Oryctolagus cuniculus: one gene and its partners. The protein of the gene in region 1 purifies or fractionates together with the protein of each later gene. This does not show direct contact. Links are inferred from orthologs where the notes say so. Each region holds a gene or a part of one and is shown on either strand. Other genes may lie near its edges.

Region 1 (6,316 bases):
ACTCAAAGGAACTTTCTCTATTCTGGAACATTAACTCTCAGAAGTAGTTAGTTTCCTGCTCAGCAAACCTGTTTTGCAGACAAGGAGCCAAGAAGGGAACCCTGCCTGCATTTCTGGGGCCTCCCGCCCTGAGCGCGTGGCGGTGCTGTTGGAAGCCTGAGTTTGTCTCCCCGGGCCTCCGTGTTGTCGGGGTGCAGAGCAGATCATGACGCTGCTCCCCGAGATCTCTCTGGGCTGGGGCGTGTGTGGTAAATGAAGTTCGTTCTCTGAGGGAGCCTTGTCTCCAGCAGTAGAAATATCCCAGAGCATTCTCGACCATCCTATTTAAAAACTTCAGCCCCTGAAGCCTGTGCTGTGCCATAGCAGGTAAAGCTGCTGCCTGCAACACCGGCATCCCATGTGGGCGCCGGTTCAAAACCTGGCTGCTCCACTTCCGACCAGCTCTCTGCTATAGCCTGGGAAAGCAGTGGAAGATGGCCCAAGTCCTTGGGCCCCTGCACCCACGTGGGAGACCCGGAAGAAGCTCCAGGTTTCTGATCGGCCCAGCTCCAGCCATTGCGGCCATTTGGAAAGTGAACCAGCAGTTGGAAGTCTGTCTGTTTCTCTCTCCCTCTCTCCTTCCTCCCACCCCCCCACCGCCTCTGCCTCTGCCTCTCTGTAACTCTGCCTTTCAAATAAATAGTAAAATAAATCTTTAAAAAAAAAAGGTTTAGGCCCCACCTTTATACTCTGTATGCCTTTCTTTTCTTTTTATTGATTTATATATTTTGAGAAAGAGATGGAGTGCCCATCGGCTGTTGGTTCTCCACATGCCTGCAACCACCTGGACTGCCCCAAGCCAAAACAGGGAGCTGGAAATGCAATCCAGTTCTCCCCTGCGGTGGCGGGAGCCCAGCAAGTTAAGCCCCGGCTGCTGCCTCTGCAGGGTTTGCATCAGCAGGAAGCTGGAATCGGGAGCCGTGGATGGAGCCCAGGCACTCCAGTGTGGGGTGTGAGATGAGGCTTCTTGACCACCAGGTGGAACACCTACCCTCAGCCCGCACTCTCTGTCCTGTCACATTTCACTTAGCATGTTTGACTTGTTTATATGGGTTTTTTTTAAGTGTTTGTTTGTTTGTTTGTTTATGTATTTGAGAGAGTTAACAGACAGTGACTGGGAGAGACAGAAAGGTCTTCCACCCACTGGGTCACTCCCCAAATGGCTGCAGTGGTTGGAGCTGAGTGGATCAGGAGCCAGGAGCTCCTTCCCAGTCTCCCACAGGGGTGCAGGGGCCCAAGGTCTTGGGCCATCTTCTACTGCTTTCCCAGGCCATAGCAGAGAGCTGGATCGGAAGAGGAGCAGCCAGAACTCGAACCGGCACCCATTTGGGATGCTGGTGCCGCCACATCACTGTCCCCTACTTGTTTATATTTTTAAACTTTCACTTATTTTTACTTGAAAGAAAGACGGGAACACAGAGTTTCCATCCACAGATCCCATCAACAGCCAGGGTCCGTCCCAGTGGAAGCCAGGAACCAGGGACTCAACCTTAAGTCTCCCAAGTGGCTGGCAGAGATCTGCCTGCCGCCTCCCAGGATGCACCCCGAAGTGCTTTACTTATCCTCCGTCTTCCATCCTCTACAAGATAAGTTCATTAGGGCAAGGATTTTCATCTGTTCACTGCGTTGCCCCAGTACCTAGATGAATACGTAACAGCCTAATAAAGATTCGCTAAATGAATGACGTTGTGCCTAATAAAAGATCACCCAGTAGGCAGTTGGCTCTTAGTGAGTGCTCAGAAACTAGGAAACCGGCTTGATTCCCTGCAAACAGCTAAATGCGTGTTACTAAAACCTGGCACTACAAGTCCCGGGAAGCTTCGCGATGCCCGATCCTTTGTCTCCCATAGTGCCCCGCGCGGCTCAAGCTAAGTTACTACGGCCGAGTCTCGGGAGCTGGAACTACAACTCCCAGGATTCCCTGGTTTGTCGTCGGTTTGTTTCCGGAAATAAGACCCTCTAGGAAGGTGGAGCTTAAGGCTGGGAGTCGACAGCGGCAGCTGTCTGTAAGTCGGGGTACTAGATTGGCAGTTAAATTGACTAATGAGAAAGAGCGACTGCCCAAAGGGTCCTCCCACAGAAGGGGAAGAAGAGGTGGCCGCGGCGGCGGCGGCAGTGGCGGTTGGACACTGCTGGGGACGGGCCCGCGGTCGCCCCGGGAGCTTGCTCTTTGCAATCTCCGCGCCCGCCTCCAGCTTTGATTCGGCGCCGTATGTTCTTTTGAGCTTTCTCTGACCCACCTAGCCAGATCTCGGACCCAAACCATGTTCCCAGTGAAGGTGAAAGTGGAGAAATCAGGTGAGGACGCGGAGTCGGGGGCCTGTCGGGAACACCGGGCTGATCTGGGTCCAGGGGTCCGGATAGGGGGATGATCGCGAAAAGGTGGACTGCGCGGCTCCTCCCATCAGGCTGTCGTCGTGTCGAGCATCGATCGTTGCTGCCAGCACTCTGGTAGTGGCCGGGCAGTGTGGCGCGGGGAGAGCATCCCAAGCCACTCCTAGTTCTGTGCAGGCTCCTATTCTCGGCTCCGCCTCAGTTTCCCCATTTCCAGCAGCGGGCGTGGGTCAGCCCTTGTGTCCCGAACCCATAATCGCCGTCTTCCGGCCGTCGTAGGAAGGTGGGGAAACTGAGGCTCGGAAAGAGAAAGTTATTCGGGGCGGGGCAGGCTGATGGGGGCAGTGGGAGAGGCACAGGAGGCCAAACAAGAAATAACAGTGGGAGGAAGTGGGGACTTAGGGCAGGTCAGGGGCCTAGGTGGCCGGATGCGCAGGGTGCGAGGGGACGGCGGCGAGAACTGTGGGCCCGCCTGAGCACTTTGGATTTGGCTCTGAGCGGAATGAGGAGGCTAGGGCGGGTTTGAACTGAGAGCCGAGTTAATCAAAGTACCTCTCCCGCAGTGCCCCCCCCCCCGAAGAACAGTGGCCAAGTGGTGAGGGGCTGACTGCAGAGAGGGGAGAGGGCGTGGACACCTGGCGGAGGGGCGCTGTGCAGGGGTGGAGGGCTCTAAGCCAGGAGCAGGGTCAGCCTTGGAAGATTCTTTCTCCTAGCGGAGGGGAGACTGAGGCTAGGAGTCCCCGGGGGTTGGGGGTGAGGGGGTTGGGCTGGACCCAGGTGGCAGAGTATGGAGAGACACTCAGGAGGCCAAGTGGACAAGCCATGGAGTTGGGGGGGGGGGAGAGGGGTCAGAAAAAGAAGGCTATTTTAGATGACATTTCCCCGTCTTTAAGTGTTGTCAGCTCCTTCAGCCACACAGAGGGTCTGGGGCCCTGACGAGGCCGTATGAGCCTCTGCCGTATAACTTAGCTTTGGAAGCAGATGGGCTGGGAGCAGATCCCTCTCAGTGCGACTTTGGGTGTCTCGGCACCTCAGTCTCCTCATCTGTAAGGTGGGTTACCAATGGCACCTGTTGGAGAATTGTGAGAATTCAGTGGGGTGAGACAGGTGGTGTGCTCCCAACAGTCCTGGCACACGGGGAGCACTCTGAATAGGTTAACTTCTCATTTTCCTGTCCTGGTAGATGGGGAAGTGTCTGAAGCTTCATGAAGCCTTGCAGCCATTGTGTGGCTATATGTCATTCGGGGACAGCCCAGGAAGGGGGTGGGCCTTGCCTCCTCTCACACAGTGGGCACGTGCGACAGCCCTGGAGCTCAGGGCCCTACTCATTGCCTCAGGGGCCTCTGCCCCTGGTTTGGGCCCGCCCACAGCTGGCCTGCGCAGAGGAGACACATTCCCTGGTCCAGTCCCGAGGCTGCGAGCTGACGCCTGCTTGGTACCCTCTCTCCGCAGAGCTGGAGATGGCCAAAGCCCGGAACCAGCTGGACGCCGTCTTACAGTGTCTCCTGGAGAAGAGTCACATGGACAGGTCGGGACTTGGTCCTGCGTGGGGGGCAGGGGGAGCTCTGGCTGCCTGAACCCTCTCCTGCCCGGCAGGTCCCAGGGGAAGGGAGCTAGTGGACAGGCCACCTGCTGCCTTCCCACGCCGGGCCTTTGGAGCCCCGAGCCAACAGCTCTCTTCTGTTGCCAGAGAGCGGCTGGATGAGGAAGCCGGGAAGACGCCCTCGGACCCCCACGCTAAGTACGTTGTGTTTTGTTTGGTGGAATCTGATATTGCCTCATCCAAGCCCTGACCGCGTGCCCTGGGCTTCCTGAGTCGTGACGTAGCACCCCCACGTACAGAGATGCTTGGTGGCAGAGCGTGGGGTGGGACACGAGGCCCAGGTCTCGGTGGGGTCAGATGGCCATCTCAGGCTTAATCCCAGCGTCCACAGGTGCCCAGGGCAAGGCGGGGCAGTGGGCTGAGCAGTGTGTGTTTAGGGGTCGGCCTACTGAAACCCCTTCTCCCCACAGGGATTGCTCCATTGCGGCCACTGGCAAAAGGTAAGGCAGCAGGGACCCCAGCCAGCTCGGGAGAGGCTCCCAGCCCCCACCCAGGCCCTGACACACCTGCCCTCCCCACACAGGCCGTCTGCGCGCTTCCCTCACCAGCGGAGGAAGAAGAGGAGGGAGATGGATGACGGGCTGGCTGAGGGAGGGCCACAGCGGTCCAGTGAGTAGGCAGTGGCCCTGGAGGGTGGGCAGAGAGCCAGGGGGTGCCACGAGGATGCTCAGGTACCTCCCGCCACGCTCTACCCCAGACACGTACGTGATCAAGCTGTTCGACCGGAGCGTGGACTTGGCCCAGTTCAGCGAGAACACACCGCTGTACCCGATCTGCCGTGCCTGGATGCGCAACAGCCCCTCAGTGCGCGAGCGTGAACGCTCGCCCGGCTCCCCACTGCCCCCCCTGCCTGAGGACGAGGAGGTGGGATGGACAGTGGGCCCTAGTGCAGCTGCCAGGAAAGCAGTGGGTAGACGGGCTCCCTCCCCCTAGCTCCTGGGGGGGACTGGCACAGGTCCCTGTGTCCCACAAATGAACGCAGGGCCAAGTGCGGCACACAGATGGGCTCTTGTAGGCTGGGCAGGCAGAACCCTGGCCTGAGGGGAAAGCAACAGATAAATGTGACCCCCAAGGTAAAGGGTCCCCAAGAGCTGAGAGGCTGGATGGGTTGTTAGTGGCCTGGGGGAGCAGGGTAGATGAGGTTCTGGTATCTGGCTAGAGATGGCAGCCAGGGGTCCCCAGGATGTACGGAGATGACTCTCTGAACTCTCAAGGTGGGGTAGGAATCCCCAGAGCAGACAGGGACACCTGGCCTGGGGAGTGACGCGAAGGGGTCCCTTGGTGACACATAGGGGGCCCCTTAGGAATCCCTGAAGCTGACAGGTGTAGATGGGCATCCCTGGGTGAGGGTGGACAGGGCTTCCTGGCTAGAGAGGAGAAAAAACGGATCGCCCAGGGTAAACACACCTGAGCTCTGGGCTGGGCAAGGTGTCTGCCCTTCAGGTCCTTTGTCACTGGGAAAAGCAGGAGGATGAAGTGGATACTCCTTGCCCTCTTATCTGACTTCCTCGGGCCTGGCTTGGGGCCCTTGTATCCCAGGGTTCAGAGGTCACCAATAGCAAGAGTCGTGACGTGTACAAGCTGCCTCCACCCATGGCCCCTGGGCCACCCGGAGACGCCTGCAGAACCCGCATCCCATCCCCGCTGCAGCCGGAGACCCAGGGCACCGCCGACGATGAGGTGGGTATAGAAGGCTGGCCTGGGGCTCAGGGGGCTGTGCTGGGGGGCTTGGCCACCCAGCCTGGCTCTGTCTGTGCACACAGCCTTCCGAGCCCGAGCCTTCGCCCTCCACGCTCATCTATCGCAACATGCAGCGCTGGAAACGCATCCGCCAGAGGTGAGCGGCCCCCAACCTGCCCCCTCCACCGGCGTCTGATGGACTTGCTAAGTCCTCCCCGCCCCGCCCCAACTCCCCAGGTGGAAGGAGGCGTCTCATCGGAACCAGCTCCGCTACTCGGAAAGCATGAAGATCCTTCGGGAGATGTACGAGCGACAGTAGCGTTCCTGCCCCAATAAACACCCTCAGTTCCACACTGACCATCGTCCTGCCCGTCCTTTCCAGCCCAGACACAAGGCGGCTGGCACAGCTCTAGCACATTTATTAGGGGAGGGGGGGGTCTAGAAGGGAGGGGGAACAGGGTGGCTGGTGAGTGACTCAAAGGGGCAAAAGGTCGCGGGAAATCAGAGTGGCTGGTGGGTTGGGTCCTGGAGGAGGAGAGGAGTGTGGAAGGCGGGCTGCCTAGGGTGTCTGGTCGGAGACCTGGGGTCAAGACAGACTGGTGGGAGGTGGGGAGGGGCCCGGGAACAGCTGTGCAGAGGCCGTCTGGTTGGGGTGCTGGT
Region 2 (5,856 bases), on another chromosome or scaffold:
CCGGCGCCCCAACTGTGTCACTCCCCCTCTTCGCGGAGGAACGACACAGGACCCTGCGCTGTTCTTTTGTCTGCTCGTTCTTCCCGGGTTGGCTACCGTCCCTTCCACCTCCGTGGAAGGGCGGTTCCCCCTGCCACTTTCCCCACTTCCGTGGGGGAGCGGCACACCGCCAGCCGGCTCTCCCGGGGGCTGCTCAGGTGTTCCTTCATATAGATGTTCCTTCAGATGTTCCTGGTGCATGTTGTCTCTCTCCTGCTTTATAGTCCTCTTCCACCAATCCCAACTCTGCTACCCACACGCCGAGTACGCTGCTCTCCTCCAATCAGGAGCAGGATCAGCTCCTGCAGGTTACTGGTCAAACTGGAGGCAGCTGTGTAGAAGCTGTTTACTCCTCTCCCAGCGCCATATTGTGTGAGAGCAGATGCATAGAATAAGTCTTAATTCCAGTAACTTAGTCTAGTCCAAGTTGCTCCCCACACAACTGGGACTAGAACCTGGGGTGCCGGCGCCGCAGGCGGAAGATTAGCCTAGTGAGCCGCGGTGCTGGCTGAAAGATGGCTTTTTTTTTTTTTTTTTTTTTTTTTTTTGACAGGCAGAGTAGACAGTGAGAGAGAGAGACAGAGAGAGAAAGGTCTTCCTTTTTGCTGTTGGTTCACCCTCCATGGCCGCCGCTGCAGCCGGCGCACCGCGCTGATCCTGGCAGGAGCCAGGAGCCAGGTGCTTTTCCTGGTCTCCCATGGGGTGCAGGGCCCAAGCACCTGGGCCATCCTCCACTGCACTCCCTGGCCATAGCAGAGAGCTGGCCTGGAAGAGGGGCAACCGGGACAGAATCCGGCGCCCCAACCGGGACTAGAACCCGGTGTGCCGGCGCCGCAAGGTGGAGGATTAGCCTATTGAGCCATGGCGCCGGCCTGAAAGATGGCTTTTAAAAATCTGATCCGGGCTGCTGTTGTGGCGTAGCAGCTAGAGCTGCTGCATGTAGTCAGTATCCTTTATGGGCACTGGTGTCCCAGCTGCTCTACTTTTGATTTGGCTCCCTGCTAACAGCCAGGGAAAAGCAGCAGAAAATGACCCAAGTGTTTAGGATCCTGCAACCCACTGGGAGACCCAGTTGAGGCTCCTGATTTCAGCCTGGCCTGTGTGGCCATCTGGGGAGTGAAACAACAGATGCAAGATCTTTTTCTTTGTAACTCTGGCTTTCAAATAAACACATAATTAAAAAAAAATCTTATTCAGCATCTACATCTTTACCTTAGAGTTGTGCACGTACATATTATTTTGTTTCTAGGGTCCCAAGGACATTCCAGGATGCCAAGTTAAGATCTCCTAGGATAATCTTTCCCCATAAGGGGTAAAATGGTGAATTTGACTTAGAGCCTTCTAAGCCAGGCAGTGTAGACTACTCATAGTGGTTTCTAGATTCAGATTACCTGAACCTAGAAATCCTTTTAAATCCTGGCTCTTCTAGCTATGTGACATGAAGCATCATCCCTGTTCTTGGTTTTTCTCAATTGTAAAATAAGGATAATGCCTACTTGGTTAGGTTGATTTGGTTGTAAATAACATGGTGCATGTAAAGTCTTTTGTTTGGCACGAGTTGGTGCTGCTGAGTAATTGTAATTCTGTAAGAGAGATGGACCCAAAGCTGAAATTACACTTCTCAGTCCATTGGAAAATGCGTATGTGGAATCCCTCGTCCAGCTCTTTCCAGGAGATCCTCTTGAGAACCTGATATTGGAAATCAGTACGTCTGGGATACAGCCAAAGCATTTATGTATTTTTTAAAATTACATAGGTGATTCTCGAGTGCAACTGAGATTGAAAACTGCTGATCCAAAGCTGTTCTTACAAGCAAGTTAGTGTATGCCTAGAATAATAGTGTTAGTGGTCACACCTAATTCTGCTAAGATCATTTCTCCAAGACCAACTTTAAAGATAAAAAGAATTATTCTGTAAGGTGACTATTTGTAGATCATATCAACCTGGATAAACTGAAGACAATGTTTTCAGACAACCTGAAGGTTGTATGTGTGACCAGCTACATTTCCTAAAGGAAGGAAAAGGCGGTCTCATCACGCTGTGTACCTGTCTGAATGGTTATATTCTTATTTTCTGACAGCCTATTACTAGCTCCCCACCCAAATGGATGGCTGAAATAGAACGTGATGATATTGACATGTTGAAAGGTAAGCAACACCATTTATGTTCCTCTACAAATCACCTTTGCTATTGTTTTTTCACTATTTCCTTACAAGTATGAAGATACTTCAAAAAATTCATGGAAAAATGGAATTAAAAATGAGTGTATTTTAGTGCAAAAAATATTGAAATCCAAGATTTGTTACAATTGAAATTAAGTTCATTTTTTATTTTATAAAATCTAAGATTTGTTAGAAAGAATTAAAATTTTAAAGTTCATCTTTTATTTTAAGTCTAGTCTCTTTCCACTATAACACAAGTCCCTTATTTAGGATTGACCGTCATGTGCTGTTGTCAGTTCCTTACCTTAGTGAGTTAAAACCTACCTTTATTTCTTTCTGGCCCATCAATTTCTTCCATACAGAATACCATAAGTAGTGAATGCTGTTGTTTGATAAATGATTTGGAACTTATTCACAAAGTAGAAGTTTAAATTAAAAAACATTAATTTTCCTTGATTTTCCTGTACTTTATTTATTTTTCATCATCCTTCTGGTGATAAGATTCATGATGGTTGTGAAATAATAGACTGAAATTAAAGTGAGAACCCAGGATTCTTGAACTATTTAAGCAGCTGAACAGATCAGGAAGGCTTGCTTATGCCAGATATAGATAATGACTGCAGCATGATAAATGGGAGAAAAAAACCTTTATTTGATTTCAGAAGTAATTCATTGTTCTGTGTGAAATGCTGAAACGTAGATCCCTTCCTCTACCCATGGAAAAATTAAGTTTCAAGGACATCTAAAAGGTTCATTGTTCTAATGTGTGAAATAGTATTTATATAACACCCTATCAGTGTGTATTTCCTAGAGAAACTTTAAATTTTTCGTTAAGGGTAATACCAGTATGTTTCATTTAAATTGACTTGTGTCTTAAACTTAAAAAGAATTAAGTGTTATTTAAATGAAAATCTGGGGAGGTAAGTTGTTATTTTAGGTATACTCTCTGAAGGGAAAATATGTATTTATATTTAGGCTTTGTTTTCTAAACTCATGGAAATGGGGAATAGTAAGCATATTGTTGCTGTTTTATTGTTATTGAAATAATTGTGACTTATAAATGACAAAGGATATAGTGTATATTGACAGGATAATATATAATGACAAGATATAATTTTGCAAGATAGAGATCTGTCAGCAAGGCTTTCTCAATGCTATGTCAAGTCATACAAAGTTTTATATTTTAATGATACACTCATTTTGTGTAATAGACTAAATGAATGGAATAAAAGGCTCTTTAGGGTAAAACACTTCATTTATTATTGTACTTGTGCTTTCCTTATTAAGTGGGTAAGCTCATCTGAGACACTCTGCAATAGTGTAAAAATTCACTGATTTTGTGTGTATGTATGTGCGTATAAGATTGGAGAAAGTGTAAGAACCCATTTTCTACTTATTCAATAGAAATTAAGCTTGAAGGCAGACATTTATGTAGTAGTTAACATGCTGCTTGGCATATCCACATTCTGTATTAGAGTCCAAGGTTCAAATTCTGGCTCCAGCTTCTTGCCAGGATGCACACTGTGGGGACAGTGTGTGGTATCTCAAGTATGTGAGCCCCTGCTACCCATGTGGGAAGTACAGATTGAGTTCTCAGTCCCCAGCTTAGGCCTGACCCAACCACAGCCGTTGCAGGTGTTTGGGGAATGAACTAGCAAATGGGAGATTTCTCTCTCTCTCCCTTTCTGCCTCAAATAAATAAATAAGTAAATCAGTAAATAAATATTTAAGGAACCCATTTTTAAAAAGTAAAAAAAAAATTAAGCTTGAAAAATATTCCCAACCCAAATGAAATATTACTAGAAGATAGTAGGAAGAAATAGTATTGAAATAAATGATTCTGTTTCAGAACTGGGAAGCCTCACCACGGCTAATTTGATGGAGAAGGTACGAGGCCTACAGAACCTGGCCTATCAGCTGGGACTGGATGAGTGTGAGTACCCAGATCCCATTTATTCAGGGCTATATGTTGCACATTCCAGGATGAGTTCTAGTTATAATTCAGAAAATGTCTTTATTAAATAAAGGAAAGTGTTCTGAAGGTAAGAAGTCAATGTAATTTAAAGTCTATCTTTTATGATAAGTATGCTGGAATAATAACTGGACTTACTAGACACTATGTCTCACTGCAGTACGTTTTAAGCAATAGAATGTTGACACAGATGAGCTCAAACAGAAGAGAGACTTTATTATTTCTTAGTTTGCATAGTTTTAAAGTCCAGGGACAGAAATAGGCCTGAGGCTGTAGATCCATGACTTACTGATACGAGTGGGTGTGCTTTTGTTCGTCTTAAAGCTTTGCCTCACTTGTGCGTGAGTCACATTCTTTGCTGCTGCAGGTAGCTTTTTCCTGGCACTGAGGAAAGAACTGCAGTTTATGTGTCTTTAAATATAATGATTCCAAAGGAAACAAAGAATGTCTTTTTCTGAGTATTCCCTCCCCACCCCAAAAAAACAGTTCCCGGGGAAGACTCAACTGTGTTCTGTCTTGGCTCACAAATGCACCCTTGGACCAGTTGCTTGGCCTGGTGGCCTGGAGCACTTGGCTGGACCATCCTGGGTCCTGGATGCAGCTGTAGACTAGAAGGGCTAGTCTGACCCAAATGACAAAGGAAGGGCTATACAACAGACTAAAACATACCTGCTGCTATGAGTAATGCTTTTTTTAAGAATTATTATTATTTTTTTTTATTTATTTGACAGAGTTATAGAGAGACAGAGAAAAAGGTCTTCCTTCTGTTGGTTCACCCCCCAAATGGCCGCTATGGCCGGAGCTACACCAATCCGAAGCCAAGAGCCAGGTACTTCTTCCTGGTCTCCCATGCGGTGCAGGGCCCAAGCACTTGGGCCATCCTCCACTGCCCTCCCGGGCCACAGCAGAGAGCTGGACTGGAAGAGGAGCAACCGGGACTAGAACCTGGTGTCCATATGGGATGCTGGCGCCACAGGTGGAAGATTAACCAAGTGAGCCACGGCGCCGGCCCCATGAGTAATGCTTTAACATTTTCCATTTATATCTTTCTGTTCTCCATTATTTTAGTTTAAAGTCATTCCCTTATAAATTGTATACTTTCTTATAGTATGTTCATTATAAAATTGGAGAAAATTTATAGAAAATTCTCACTTTGTAATTGAAAAACAAAATACTAAATGTAAATATAGTGATTATAGCCTATTCTCAAAGGGTATCTTCTGAGACCTTCATAAATCAACATTTTGAGAGTGCTACTATAGTTTGTAGTGTTCATGAAAAATTTAGGTTTGTAGCAATCCCACATAGTTTGATAAGTTGGTTTTTTCTTGTTTATTTACATTTAGTATATTTGTTTACATCACTGATAAAATTTACAGGCAAATTCAAATTTTCATTTTAAAATTTAAAATGCCTAGGTTTTCACTAATAAATCATCACTTCTTTAGCCCTCTGTATCTTTTCTTTATTTCCATTACTTCTATCAACAGCAATTGGCTTTCTTTTACCAAGAAACAGTTTTTAATAATTTCTTGAATCAAGACATAGAAAACAATAAACTTCTTTGATATAAGGTTGTTAGGTTGTCTGCTGGGTTCCCTAACTCTCTTCTGAATACTGGTGATTTTATTTCTTGTGATTAAAGTTTATATCTTGGCAAAATGACTAATAACCATGTATGTC
Region 3 (5,856 bases), on another chromosome or scaffold:
TATTTTCATGTACTTGAAAGAGTGAGAGGGACAGAGAGAGATACAGAACTTCCACCTGCTGACTCACTCCCCACATGCCTGCAACAGTCAGGGTTGGGCTGGGCCAAAGCCAGGAGCCTAGAACTCCATCTGGGTCTCCTACAGGGGTGGCAGGGACCCCAGCACCATGGGCCATCATCCAGTGACTCTCAGGACACATTAGGAGACAGCTGAATGGGAAATGAAGCAGCCAGGACTGGAACCAGCACTCCAATAAAGGATGCAGGTGCTCCAAGCAGAGATTTGGCCCACCGCACCACAAAGCCCCCGCCTAAAATTAAGACTTAAAATCCCTAAAAACAAACCTGGGGTGGATGTCACAGTGCAGCAGGTTAAGCCACTGCTTGTGATGCCCACATCCGGTGTCTAAGGGCCTGGTCTGAGTCCCGGCTGCTGTCCTTCTGATTCAGCTACTGCTAATGCGCACCCGGGGAGGCAGCAGACGGTTCAAGTACTTGTGTTCCTGCCACCCACAGTGGAGGCCCAGATGAAGTTCCTGTCTCCTGGCTTTGGCCTGGCAATTGTAGGCATTTGGGGAATGAACCAGAGGATGAAATATCTCTTTGCCTTTCAAATAAAATGAAAATAGCTAAATTTAAAATAATAATAAAACATCTAGTCCTCTCACCTCCCTCTTCTCCCTGGGCTGCGCCTGCCAGTGCAGTGGCATTCTCTGGGCTGGTTTCAGGAAGAACCAGAGAGAAGACTCCTGAGAAATAGCCCGGGGGTCCTGGTGCTGCCTCTTCCTAGCTTGGGGGCACCCTACTCTGAGCCTTGATGTCCCCTTGTACCCATTCACACGACTGTGATCAAAAGGACACAGCAGGGCCGGCGCCGCGGCTCACTAGGCTAATCCTCCGCCTAGCGGCGCCGGCACACCGGGTTCTAGTCCCGGTCGGGGCACCGGATTCTGTCCCGGTTGCCCCTCTTCCAGGCCAGCCCTCTGCTGTGGCCAGGGAGTGCAGTGGAGGATGGCCCAGGTGCTTGGGCCCTGCACCCCATGGGAGACCAGGAAAAGCACCTGGCTCCTGGCTCCTGCCATCGGATCAGCGCGGTGCGCCGGCCGCAGCGCGCAGGCCGCGGCGGCCATTGGAGGGTGAACCAACGGCAAAGGAAGACCTTTCTCTCTGTCTCTCTCTCTCACTGTCCACTCTGCCTGTCAAAAAAAAATAAATTAAAAAAAAAAAAAAAAAAAAAAAAAAAAAAAAAAAAGGACACAGCATTTACAAGGCTCAGTGCCCAGGAAAACGGTTCACCAGGCACAGTCACCGTTATAACAAGAAAATAGCACCTGCCACCCTCTGTAAGCTCAGCTGGTGCAGGGACCACACAAACCCCTCCCGTGCATCACCTGTCCAACCTTCACAAAAACCCTACTGCAGGGACCAAGAAGCTGAGTGTTCTGCCCAACAGCCCCAGCTCCTGATTGCAGACCCTCTGGATCAGGACCTGGGGCCTCGAACTGGACACCTGGGGACACCCGGGCTGATCGCAGGCTGGCTCACTCCCAGGTTCATGTGCATGGACATGCCCACAACGGTGCCTGCTGCCCTGCAGGTGGGTGAAGGCCCACTGAATACAGGTGGCTGAGTTACCTTCTGGTCCTCCTCTTTGGTCCAGGGCCCCTTGACAAGATCTGGATTCAAAACTCTCAGCCACCGGTACTGGCATTGCTGGTCAGTGCGGTTCTGGGAAGTGAACAGGAAGAACATTCAGGAATCTGTGAGAACTCCTGATCCATGGGCTGGGACCCTTTGGAGCACTGGGCTCAGGGGTTCAGGGCCCAGTGTATGCCACCACCACCACCCCCACCACACACTGCAGGCCCACACACGAGGACACGCGTGGCTTCCCTTTGCTGCAGACGGGGACAGGTTCGGGCCCCTGTAGAAGATCACCTCCCACTACCCACACAGGCAGCCACCCCTGCCAAGCCTGTAACAGACTCATGAGGTTCCAGATCCCTGCTTTCTTTTGGGAGAGTGTTTCTATTTCTGAAGCACCACACGGATGAAAAGCAGATGAACAAAGTGGACAAAAGGGCTCTGGTGGCTCCGACCTCTAGTGGCCCTGGGGACCCAGGCAGTAAGCCAGAGAGCAGACACCTGCAGCCTGGGGGTGGGGTGGCTGCAGGGCCTTACTGTGCAGCCGCAGCCGGCGGAAGCACCACCTGCCCCCAGCTGCAGCCTCACTGTTGAGGAACCCAGCACCCATCCGCTCCAGCAGTGCACGAAGCAATGCAAATAAGCATGTCACTGGCCACAGCTACAAACCCCGCAAAGCCCCGGACACACGAGGCAGCTGTGGGCAGAGGCTTCGCCTCTGGGAAGCAAGGTCCCATGAACACAGTCGTCTTTTACGTGGTTCTCCTTCGGAGGGAACTGGTAAGAACTCCCTCGCCTTCTCCCTGGCAGGAAGCTTGTCCCCGGCACAGTGGTAGGTCGGCGAGAACCCCTGCCATACTCACAGGAAAGTGGCTGGCCAGGAACTTCCAATCCTGCTGTCCGAACTGCCTCACCAGGGCCCTCAGCTGCTCATCCTGCCAACACGAGGAAGACAGAGCTCAGCGCACACTGTGCAGGAGGCCGCCTCCCAGGCGCCCCCAACAGTAGCCCCTCCAAGAACAGCTCCGTCCTTCCATCCCGGCTTAAAATGACCACCTACTGCGCGCCAGGAATGGCAGTCACAGCGGCAGGCAGCAACCCTGAGGGGCTTATGGTCTAGGGAGAGCTCATCGAAAGCTCAGAGACACAAAGAGATGCACAGTAATGGGAACGCAAAGCTGGAACACTGGACTCAAGTGAACAAGGGACGCGAGATGGTTCTGGAGGGACGGCAGGGACCAGGCCTCATGCAAAACTGACGCCTCTGCAGCAGGCTAAGCCACCGCGGCATCTGAGCAGTGAGCATTTACGGTCCAATGGCTTGTGACAAGGGCTCCAACGTGCTTGCTGCAAGGCAGGAAAGGGGATGGAAGGAGGCAGAGTGGACATGCGAGGCCAATACTGCACCCAGGCCCGGGGTGACAGGACTCGGCTCTGGAGGTGGGGTAGCCATGGGCAGAACTGAGAGCAGGCAGAAGACACGTTCTCCTGAAGAGGAGCTACTGTCACACAACGTGCATCTCGGGATCCTGATAGGTCAGACATAAACGGGGACATACCGGATCATTCCACGCACACGGAATCTAGAAGATGTGAACTAAGATACAGGAACAAAAAGGAAGCCAGTGGTCGGACAAAAGAGACAGCAAGGAGAGCGAGGACTGTGTTGGGGGTAGTGGAATGTTCTGGAACGTGACTGCTGCTATTCGTGGCTGTAAACAAGCACCTGTGAAATTCACTGAGCTGTACGTCGAACGGCAGTTGATTGTATATAAAGTATTTCTCAATTTTATAGAAATAAAATATATAGGAGTATTTGGAATAGCAGTTAAGATGGCACTTGGGGGGCCTGGCGCTGTGGTGTAGCAGGTAAAGCTACTGCCAGCAGTGCCAGCATCCCATATGGGCACCGGTTCAAGTCCCAGCTGCTCCATTTCCAACGATGCTCCCTGCTAATGTGCCTGGGAAAACAGTGGAGGATGGCCCAAGTCCTTGGGCCCCCGCACCCGCATGCGAATCCTGGAAGAAGCTCCAGGCTCCTGGCTTCAGACCAGCCCAGCTCCAACTGTAGTGGGCATTTGGAGAGTAAACCAGCAGATAGAAGATTTCTCTGTCTCTCTGCCTCTCTGTAACTCTGCCTTTCAAATAAATAAATAAATAAATCTTAAAAAAAAAAAAATATGTCACTTGGGACACACTTTCTCATATCAGAGTGCCTGAGTTCAAATCCCAGCTCTGCTCCTATTCCAGCTTCCTGCTAACAATGTGTACTCTGGCTCAAGTACTTGAGTCCCTGACACCCATGCAGGAGACTTGAATGAAATTCCTGGCTCCTGGTTTTGGTCTGGCCCAGCCCCAGCTGTTAGAGGCATTGAGAGTAAATCAGCATATGGAAGATTTCTGTCTAATAAGTAAAATTTTTAAAAAATATGATATACACAAAGAAAACATGGTAAAGACATCAATGAAATATGACCCAGTCTTAAAAAAAAAATGAAGAAAAACAGAGGCTAATGTGGCACAACGGATTAAACCACCACTTGCCACACCAGCATCTCATATCAAAGTGTGGGTTCGAGTCCCGGGCTATTCGGCCCCGACGCAGCTTCCTGCTAATGTGACTAGCAGAGCAGGAGACGGCTCAGGCCCCTGCACCCACGTGCAAGACCTGGATGGAGCTCTGAGCTCCTGGCTTCTGCCTGGTCCAGCCCCAGCTGTCAACAGCAATTCGGGGAATGAGCCAGTGGATGGAAGCTCTGTCTCTCTTGCTCTGTCACTCTGCCATTTGAATAAGTAAATAAACAAATCTCTAATTAAAAAGAAGGCAAACTAAAAAAAAAAAAAAAAAAAAAAAAAAAAGGAAATTCTGAAACATACTAGATGGAACAGGGACAACCCTTGAGGACATTTTGTTCCATGAAATAAGCCAGTCACAAAAGGACAAGTACTGTGTGCTTCCAGTCACGAGGTACCGAGAGCAGTCAAAGCCACAGAAACAGAAAGCAGGCACCTAGCAGCCAAGGGCTGGGGAGAGAATTAGTGCCCAAAAGGTAAGAGTTCCATTTCTCAGAAAACAGAAAGCTTCCTAAGATCTGCTGCCCCGTAGACCATGGGGAATACTTAACACTGCCATACTGTGCCCTGAGAAAGGGTTAAGGCCAGGGCTGGGCCAGGCTGAAGCCAGGACTAGAACTCCATCCAGGTCTCCCAGATGGGCACAGGGGCCCAAGCACCTGTGCCATTTCCCACACTGCTTTCCCAGGTGTGTTAACAGGGAGCTGGATCGGAAGTAGACTTGAACCACCAGCACGGCAGGTTGTGGCTGAACCTGCTAAGCCACAACACAGGCCCCCACACCAATCTCTTAGCCCAATGCCGCCCCAATGTCTACTCCTAGCTACCTACACAGATTAGTGCATATAAAACAGAAGGAAAGCTTCCCTTAGCCAGGGGACGTAGAGAGGGACAGGGTAGCTGTCCAAACCAGGAGGCAGGGCTCCCCTGCTTTAAAACCTCACTTCCTGGGGCCGGAGCTGTGGCGTAGTGGGCTAAGCCTCCACCTACAGTGCCGGAATTCCATATGGGCACTGGTTCTAGTCCCGGATGCTCCACTTCCAATCCAGCCCTCTGCTATGGCATCAGAAAGCAGAAGATGGCCCATGTGCTTGGGCCCCTGCACCCATGCGGGAAAATCAGAAGAAGCTCCAGGCTCCTGGCTTCAGATCAGCTCAGCTCTGACCACTGTGGCCATTCAGGGAGTGAATCAGCAGATGGAAGACAGCTCTCTCTCTCTGCCTCTCAAATAAATAAATCTTTAAGAAGGGGGAAAAAAAACTCACAGTGCCAGTGGAACAAGCCCAACACTTCACAGCAGAACCTCAGGGCCTTCCAGGGGTTGGTCCTATTCTATCTTTTCATCGGCATCAACCATTCTGCCCCTTCAAGGACCCTCCCCTCCAAGACTCTGGGCGCTATGGCATTTCCTGCTGGGACACACCCCAAACTCTCTACACAGCTTGTCTTCCTGGGGGCTGAATTTCCAAATTCTCACCCAGGCTCGAAGGCCACGTTCTCCATGAACTTTCCCTAAGCCCTTCAAGGAAGTCACCTCTCCTAGCACAGGTATCTGCACGCTCCCGGCTCTCGCGGGGACAGGCGACTCTCAGCCCCCGTGTGCCATGAGCCTTGTGCAAGACAAGAATGCAGGTACAAC

What was found. Proteins that work in one complex are often made in the same cells at the same time.
Region 2: the proteins of LIN37 (region 1) and LIN52 purify together in Homo sapiens (affinity purification with mass spectrometry; 6 studies listed by BioGRID and IntAct, counting the BioPlex papers as one, with this or other methods). This does not show direct contact. The link is inferred for Oryctolagus cuniculus from reciprocal best matches to the Homo sapiens genes LIN37 and LIN52.
Region 3: the proteins of LIN37 (region 1) and MYBL2 purify together in Homo sapiens (affinity purification with mass spectrometry; 6 studies listed by BioGRID and IntAct, counting the BioPlex papers as one, with this or other methods). This does not show direct contact. The link is inferred for Oryctolagus cuniculus from reciprocal best matches to the Homo sapiens genes LIN37 and MYBL2.

Annotation. Positions count from the first base shown.
Region 1 is NC_091449.1:19,406,228-19,412,543, forward strand, and holds the start of LIN37 (protein lin-37 homolog), read left to right. Parts: upstream 1-1,930; 5' UTR 1,931-2,303; coding exon 2,304-2,337; intron 2,338-3,825; coding exon 3,826-3,901; intron 3,902-4,063; coding exon 4,064-4,114; intron 4,115-4,386; coding exon 4,387-4,416; intron 4,417-4,499; coding exon 4,500-4,585; intron 4,586-4,673; coding exon 4,674-4,840; intron 4,841-5,515; coding exon 5,516-5,656; intron 5,657-5,739; coding exon 5,740-5,813; intron 5,814-5,893; coding exon 5,894-5,975; 3' UTR 5,976-6,316.
Region 2 is NC_091451.1:20,267,000-20,272,855, forward strand, and holds part of LIN52 (protein lin-52 homolog), read left to right. Parts: intron 1-2,119; coding exon 2,120-2,186; intron 2,187-4,050; coding exon 4,051-4,134; intron 4,135-4,904; coding exon of another isoform or gene 4,905-4,906; exon of another isoform or gene 4,907-5,856.
Region 3 is NC_091442.1:15,287,222-15,293,077, forward strand, and holds part of MYBL2 (myb-related protein B), read right to left. Parts: intron 2,579-5,856; coding exon 2,507-2,578; intron 1,728-2,506; coding exon 1,635-1,727; intron 1-1,634. UniProt on the Homo sapiens protein: Transcription factor involved in the regulation of cell survival, proliferation, and differentiation. Transactivates the expression of the CLU gene.